Zea mays: one gene and its partner. The protein of the gene in region 1 interacts with the protein of each later gene in a pairwise test. Links are inferred from orthologs where the notes say so. Each region holds a gene or a part of one and is shown on either strand. Other genes may lie near its edges. The genes, in order: SCAR-like protein 2 and protein BRICK1.

The links.
Region 2: the proteins of SCAR-like protein 2 (region 1) and protein BRICK1 interact in binary tests that used the Arabidopsis thaliana proteins (3 or more experiments, as listed by UniProt). The link is inferred for Zea mays from reciprocal best matches to the Arabidopsis thaliana genes WAVE2 and BRK1.

What each region holds. Positions count from the first base shown.
Region 1 is NC_050103.1:24,586,152-24,590,658, forward strand, and holds the start of SCAR-like protein 2, read left to right. Parts: upstream 1-1,440; 5' UTR 1,441-2,054; coding exon 2,055-2,242; intron 2,243-3,259; coding exon 3,260-3,423; intron 3,424-3,572; coding exon 3,573-3,696; intron 3,697-3,755; coding exon 3,756-3,888; intron 3,889-3,991; coding exon 3,992-4,095; intron 4,096-4,218; coding exon 4,219-4,507. UniProt on the Arabidopsis thaliana protein: Involved in regulation of actin and microtubule organization. Part of a WAVE complex that activates the Arp2/3 complex. Regulates trichome branch positioning and expansion.
Region 2 is NC_050100.1:225,127,395-225,131,132, reverse strand, and holds protein BRICK1, read left to right. Parts: upstream 1-1,688; 5' UTR 1,689-1,750; coding exon 1,751-1,883; intron 1,884-2,978; coding exon 2,979-3,100; 3' UTR 3,101-3,230; downstream 3,231-3,738. UniProt on the Arabidopsis thaliana protein: Involved in regulation of actin and microtubule organization. Part of a WAVE complex that activates the Arp2/3 complex.

The DNA of each region.
Region 1 (4,507 bases):
TGGGTCGGTCCGGGACGGCCCGAAATTCAAATAATACGGGCCTTTTCGGGCTTGGGCCGGCCGGGCGGCCCGAATGTACACCTATACCTCCATCTTTGTATTTGTCCGTCGCTACTCGCTACAGGTGCCATTATGCCAACAACCGAAACAGAATTCGACGCCCTTTCTTCCGTTGGAACTTGGAACCAGGTAAAGGCGGTTTCTATAAGACCGTCTTCAGCAACAGCCTCTATATTCATCTTTTATATCCGTTATTTACAGTCTTCTCTAATAATTTCATTCTCTATATCTTCTTCCTCTCCAATAACACTCTCTATACTCAAATATCTATGTTAAAGATATTTTATTTTTATTTTTTTACATACGTATTTGTAATACTCTCAAATGTATTGTACAAATTTTAGTTTTTCTAAACCGTTTATTTAAAGTATTTAAATAAATAGAGGTCCGTTTAGAGAAATTATAAATATATATAGAGAATCTAGCAGCATCCTCTTAATTTAGAGTATCGTTTAAAGAACGCTGCTGTAGAGCATGGATAACTGTTTGATCCTCTATATTTAGAGTAGATAACTTTTTAGAGGTCTTTGCTGGATCCACCATGTGTCGTCTATGGCTCGATGCTCATTTCCGCGTCCGCCCTCAGCCTTAGATTTGTCTAACGTATTAGGCCAGCCTGAGATTTAAGAAGTTTTTTTGTTAAAAAACAATCACTAAATATATATATATATATAATACTTTCATCAATTATATCTTCAAATAACTTCATTATAAAAATATATTTTATGATCAATCCGGTGTACGGACTGTACATCATAGAAAACACAGTTCCATTTTATATGCATCTAATCAAACATCTTTAAACAAAAAAAATTAAAGAAAGCCCCAATGTCCCCCCTTTTAGATTACATTACGTTACATTCCACGGGATCATTGAGCTAGCTAGAACAGGAACCACTGGCACCTGCTCAGCCGCCGCCATCATTAGTCATGCCCGACGGACCTCACATCAAGTACAAAAGCGCTCACGTAAACACTTGACCCAATAATTAGATCTACCCTAAGATCCGCCCACCCTCCTCCCAAAGGACATCTCAAAAGAAAAGAATGGCAGGCAGGTTGCCCGCCTGCAATGATTTAGGCAAGCTCTGTAACAACACAAACATTGTGTTTGTACGTACGTACACTTTTTTTTATATTTCACTCGCACAGTTTGACAAAAGGGGGAAAAAACAACAACACTCCAGTGAATTATTAAGAAAGGACTAATAATGTATAGAAGAAGCATCATCTCAATTCTCAAGCGCGGCGCGGCTGACATGACCAGGCCACCACCAAACACTAGACTGGACTGGCCCAAATCGCATGCCCCAAGATTTGATTCTGTTCAGGTCCCAAAGTCCACGGTGAACAACAACACGGCCGGCCGGCAGAAACCGCGGCCTGACCCGGCGGACGCGGGCACTGACTGACCGGAACAAAGGAAAGCCAAGCAGCAGCCGCACCGGCGCACGCACCCACGGCCACGACCCACCTGCGGGCGGCGCTCAACCCGAGTGGATGTGGACGGAGCCGCCCGCAGGCCGCACGACAGACAGAGATAGAGAGAGAGCACAGGCGGCCACGCCCGCTCCTACCACCGCACCGCATCGCCACTTACCCCTCGTGCCGCCGCGCTGCCTTTTCCTCCCCGCGTCCCTTTCGTCCCTCACCTTGTCGGAGACCGACGCACCCCCCCTCTCCGCTCTCCGCTCCTCCTCCCCACACCCCACCCCACCCGCTCTCCAGTCCACCTCACGCTCACACTCCCGCAGCCCGCCCGCCAGCCGCCATCCTGCTGCCACCTCTTTCTTCCTTGCGGGGGCGGCAACCAGGCGCACGGCACCTGCTCCCTCCCACTCCCACTCCCACACCGCGCCAGCCACCAGAATAAAGCAGCCGTTGCGGCGTCGCGTCGGCGAGCACAGCGCAGCGCAGCGCGCAGCGGCCCGGGTGCATGAGGAGGGGGCGGCGGCTGCCGAGGCCGAGGCTGTGACGAAGGAGCGCGGAGGGCGATGCCGCTGGTCAGGTTCGAGGTGCGGAATGAGGTGGGGCTGGGGGACCCCGGCCTCTACGGCGGCGGAGCTGCCGCTGCCGCCGCCGCCACCGCCGCCGCGGGGGAGGAGGAGCCCAAGGCGCTGCTCGAGGGCGTCGCCGTCGCGGGCCTCGTCGGGATCCTGCGCCAGCTCGGAGATCTCGCGGAGTAAGGCCCTGCTCCCTCCCTCCCTCGCTGCCTCCTCCTCCTGCCCGGTCTATGCGCGCCTTCGACCTGCCGCCCGCCGGTGCGCGTCTCTGTGGTCTGGTTCCCGCCTGGATCTGCTACGCTACGTGTTTAACGGCTCCCGGCGGGGATGGTTGGGTTTTTTGGGCTCGGCCCTGTGGTTGGGACTTGGGATTGGGAGAATGGGAGTGAGATGAAGTAGTGGGATCTGTTAGAGCAGTGTTGAGGTGGTTGAATTCGCTTAGGGTGAACGAGCGCTGTGATGTGCCATAGCAACAGGAACTGTTAGAGCAGTGTTTGCGTGTGCCGGCTGTTCAAAATTGTGGCACTATCTGGGAATGATTTGGATGTCCTTCTGTAGCAGCGGCGGTCTTTGGGTTTTTTTTTTCTGAGGTCTAGTGTTAGGACTGGATTGGATGGCGCTAAGGTTTCAGGTTTCCGGAGCGGCATATGGCATAACAGCTATATCTGCTGGGATCATTCAGCTGGTTTTTTTCGGCCGCATTCGCTCTTTAGAGGAGGACACACTTTCCTGAATCAGTGCTGATTGGCTTTGTTTCTCGGGTGCGACATGGAGGTCTTAAGTAAGATCTTGTCTTAGCTTACAATTTATGTTTGCAGAAAGTCTCTTTTTAATCTTGTATTCTTATATGAAGCAACTAGTGAGTTTTGAAAGGCTCTGTTTTAGAATTTAGATTGCTTAGCGGCTGTCTGACTGGACGCATTTTTGTTGGCTTGATGTTGGTAAATGTTTGTCTCAAGAGTTCTTTGCTAATTTTGGCTGGAGAATCTCCATGGGTTCTGGTAATTGCCATTTCTTGCTAGGGCAAAACTGTTGCCACTCCGAGGGGGTTTGTTTTTGTCTGTTAATGCTTCTATCATTTTTTCCCTTTGTATAACCTATGGACAGTTTACTTACGTACTGTGTTCCTTGATATACTAATAAATCTTAAAAAATAATATTTGGTGAAATTGATGTGCTAGCTTTGGTCATACCAGATTCGCGGCTGATGTTTTCCATGACCTACACGAGCAAGTTATAGCTACATCTGCTAGGGGTCGCAAGGTGCTGACTCGAGTACAGAACATCGAAGCAGCACTTCCATCTCTCGAAAAGGCTGTGAAGAATCAGAAGAGTCACATACATTTTGCCTATGTTCCGGGTAATTATTTATTCATTACTCCATTGATGTCTAAAAGTACCCTGATCATGATTGTCCATTATAGTATTTGAATGTCTCTCTTGTCCATCTTGAATTCTTTGAGATCAATATTATCTTGCAATCTTACAGAATTTACTAATAAAACACAGGCTCTGATTGGCACACTCAGCTTCAAAATGAGCAAAATCACCTGCTAGCGACTGATCTGCCTCGTTTTATGATGGATTCGTATGAAGAATGCCGAGATCCGCCACGGCTTTACCTTCTTGATAAGTAAGGGCTGAAGCTTTCCTTAATAAACATTTTTCATATCTAAAATTATTTCCTTCCAGATTTGACAATGCTGGTGCGGGGGCTTGTGTAAAGAGATATTCTGATCCATCTTATTTCAAGAAAGCATGGGATACGATGAGAGCAGATAAGAATGCTAATGTACAAAGAGAAAAGAGATCACAGAAAATTAAGGTTATATTCATTCTCAGTGTCTGAAGTCGATATATGTGCTTAGTAATATTTTTTCATGTTGGGATTTGCCGAAAGACTTAATAGAGCTTATGAACTTATACAGAGAAAAGGATCACGACTAAGGGAACCATATCATGGACAAGCCATGCCTAGGCATAGGGGCACTGAATTTCAGCGATCACTTACTGCTGGCCAACTTGTTAACAGGTGTTGCACATCCCATACTTTAAGATACAATAATTTTGTATCCGTGATCATCTTCTATGGCTGTTCCCTTCTTATATTTGAATGGCACATCCAGAACAGCATTTTTAATAGTGTATTTTCCAGCAGGCAGTTTGCATCTCCCAGCAACGATGGTCAGGGTATCTCAGAGCATAAGTCTACACCTGATGCAAGATCTAATCCTGACAATATGAGCAGATCTTCTTCTCTTAGTTCGAAGACACAACTGAGTTCAGTAGAACAAGCTATCGATACAAAACCTTCTGCAGTTTCTCATGAGAATGGCCATGGGAAGTCATTGGATACTAAGTTGCACAAGCCTGGTGGTCTGCCTTCGCCCGTACTGCTTAACAGCACCACTGTGGATGATCATAGTGACCATTTGAAGCAAGGT
Region 2 (3,738 bases), on another chromosome or scaffold:
TGGTCCAACTGCCGGAGCTGCCCGTGGAGGTCTCTACTGGCTGACATGATCTCTGGCATCAGGGGATGCGAGCGGTCGCCGGCAACAAACTCGCAGACCACGCCGCCCACCTCTAGCATGCTGCACCCGGGCACCTTGGCCACCCTCCTCTCCTCCATGTCCCGCCGCACCTTGAGCACCTCCTCCCACTTGCCCCACCCGGCGTACATGTTGGACAGCTGCACGTGCACCCCGCTGTGGTCCAGCCCCAGCTCCGCCAGCCAGCGTACCACCTGCTCGCCGGCCTCCACGTCGCCGTGCGCCGCGCAGGCGTTCAGCAACGCGCCCAGCACGTACGAGTCGGGCCTCATGGGCATCGAACGCACGGCCTCCAAGGCGTCCGCCAGCTGTCCGGCGCGGCCCAGGACGTCCACCAGGCACCCGTAGTGCTCCACGCCGGGCTCCATGCCGTGCACCGCCCCCATGCTGCGGAACACCTCCTTGGCGCGGCCGACGAGGCCCGCGCGGCCGCAGGCGGTGAGCACGCAGATGAAGGTCACCTCGTTGGGGCGCACCCCTTCCACCAGCATCTGCCCGAACAGGTCGATCGCCTCCCCGCAGCGGCCGTGGTCCGAGAGCCCCGAGATCATGGCCGTGTAGGCGAACACGTCCCGCTGCCCCCGCGGTGCCGCCGCGAACACCTGCCTCGCCGTTTCCAGGCTCCCGCACTTGGCGTACATGTCCACCAGCGCCGTCGCCACTACGCCGTCCATCGCCACGCCGTGGCCGCCGCCGCCGACGAGCAAGGCGTGCACCCACCTGCCCTGGTCCAGCGCCCCGAGCGCCCCGCAGGCGGTCAGCACCCCGACCACCGCCGCCCTGTTGGGGCGGACGCACGACCTGAGCATGTCCTCGAACAGCCGCACGGCGTCGCCGAAGCTGCCCGCGGCCACGTAGGCGCTCAGCATGGCGCTCCAGGCGACATCGTTCCTGCGGGGCATTCCGTCGAACAGGGCGCGCGCCTCATCCACGTGCCCGGCCTTGGCGCAGGCCGTGAGGAGCGACGTCCAAGAGCACACGTCGGCCGCGCGGGAGGCGACGGCGCCTCCGAAGAGGCGGCGGGCGGCTGGCAGGACGCCGTGGGTGGCGTAGGCGTGGATGAGGCCGTTGGCGACGTAGGCGTGGGCGTCCCAGGCCAGGACGACGGCGAGGGCGTGGAGACAGGGCACGATGGCGTGGGAGCCGAATGGGGACTCCGGTTCCAGATACGGTGGCGCTGACGAGTCTGCGGCGGCTTTAAGGAGGAAGGAGAAGGTGTAGTTGTTCGGCCGGAAGTCGGGGATGATGCGGCGGAGGCGCGGGAACAGGCGGAGGGCGCCGAGCGGGTGCGCTGGGAGCAGCGAGCGGAGTAGCTGGTTGGGGAGGAAGCGGTCGGCGAGGAGGAGCGTGGAGGAGCGGAGCAGGTGCCCGTCCACCTGCCGGAGCTGAGCGGCGCTCAGCGACGGCCGGCACAGCAGCTGCAGCGCCGCCGCCGTGGCTATTGATTGCATAATTGCAGTTGCTGCCCATCTCCAGGCCCACTGGGTATCTCAGGCACTTGGGCTTTGTATCGGCTGAGATTGCGAGAAGGGCCCGGCACAACCTGGCCCACTCACACCAACCATCCAGCCTGGCCTTCCAAGACAGAAGAGGCAAGCAACAGCCGAGGCAGAGGACAGTTTAGTTGGTGCTGGTGCTGGTGGAGGAAGAAGCAGCGCAGCAGGTGGCAGGGATGGGTCGCGGCGGCGGGATGGGGAACCCAGTCAACGTGGGCATCGCGGTGCAGGCGGACTGGGAGAACCGCGAGTTCATCTCCAACATCTCCCTCAACGTCCGACGCCTCTTCGACTTCCTCCTCAGATTCGGTCAGCTCCTCTTCCATTCCATTTCCCCGCGGCCTGCCCTCTCTCGATCTGGATCTCCAACTTTTGGATCTGGTCCGCCGCCTTCGTGCTTCATACCATACCACGCGGAGCTTAATTGTCCTTGCTACCCGCATATTACCTTGCCCTGCCCGAGCTTATGTTTAGTCATTGTGGGATGGCAGACAATTGCTCAAACTACCCATGAGACCGGATGCTTTAACTAGTCATTGTGGGATAATCAATATTCCGGCGACGTTTGAATTGATGTCAGACAACACATCCTAACAGCCATCCATCTACATAGCCTGCCTACCTACTCGTTCGGCCTGTTGCTACTTACCAGCCTCATGCTCGTTGTCAATTAGGCTCGGGTTTTGCATGGAATGGCTGTAACTTGCGGTCACTAAGTACCTTTTAAAAAATAGTTGATAGTTGAATCCCACACAGCACCAACATGGGATTCAGACCTCACAACCACTTGTTGATAGTTGGATCTTTTGATGGTATGTGAATCCCTTTCGAGTTGCTGTGGGAGAAGCAATTGTTGTACATGAGGATGCAGCAAGAGCTATGGGAAGGAAACGCTTATGAACAATAGATACCTGGTCGTCCTAATTTCATGGTAAGTACGAAGGGAACATATCGAATACAAACCATGTTTTGTTGTAAATCCCGTGCAAATCTACTAAAAAAGTTTTAAAAAAATCTTAAAAAAACATAAATGTACATCTAAGCTTATCTTATCTATATGCAAAATTTCATGGTCAAATTCATCTTACTCTAGCAGTTACAAAAAAAAGACAAATTTTGGTGCATTTGAACTATTATTGTTTGTCAGATTTTTTGTTTTTTTTTTGTATCTGCTAGAGTAAGATGAATTTGACCATAAAATTTTGTGTATATATGATGTAACCTCAGATGTACATTCATGTTCTTTTTCAGAAATTTTCGGAACTTTTTTTAGTAGGTTTGTATAGAGTTTGCACCAAAATATGGTTTGCATTAGATATATTCCCATCTATCATGCATGTGTGTTTGCTACTTAACTCTGACCATCTACTTTGGAGGAGTTACTAAAGATGTGCTTGCTTGCAGAAGCTACGACGAAGAGCAAGCTGGCAAGTTTGAACGAGAAGCTGGACATCCTAGAGCGGAAGCTGGAGGTGCTTGAAGTCCAAGTGGGCAGCGCGACGACCAACCCTTCCGTCTTCAACTAGGAATCGCGGGTTTATATGTATAAATAAATAGATAAATGTAGGTATGAATGTTGCTTGTACCAACGAATTCTGGTCGCTATCAATCATGTAATGTAATGGATTTTGTTATTATTATTGTGGTATGTGTAAAGATGTGCAGAATTGAAAAGATAATAATAGTAGAATGGAGATTGGGTGGGGGAAGAAAAGAAAAAAAGGCAAGTGGTCCTGGTGCTGTATCGCCTTGCCACCACACAACAATAACTATCTTTCCTCCCTTTGGTTTGGTTGGTTTCTTTCTCTCCTCTCTCCTCTCCTCTCCTCTCCCCGTGGCCACACCACAGCCGCCGGAAGCTCCTCCTCCTCCTCCTCCTTCTCCATGAGAGAGATCTAGCAAAGCATAGCCTCCTTCCTGCTGGCGGGATCTCCTTTTGATTCGTAACTTGTACCGTCTCTCTCTGCTACTTTATAGTATTTTTTTCGTTTTAAGGATCTTGCTTATTATTAATTTTTAGGATCTTCAACTCTTCATGTATGCGAATTTCATATGCTGCTAGTCGAAAGATGCAAAAAAAAAAAACAGGGGCATTCCGAGAATTGAACTCGGGACCTCTCGCACCCTAAGCGAGAATCATACCACTAGACCAAATGCCCTGTGT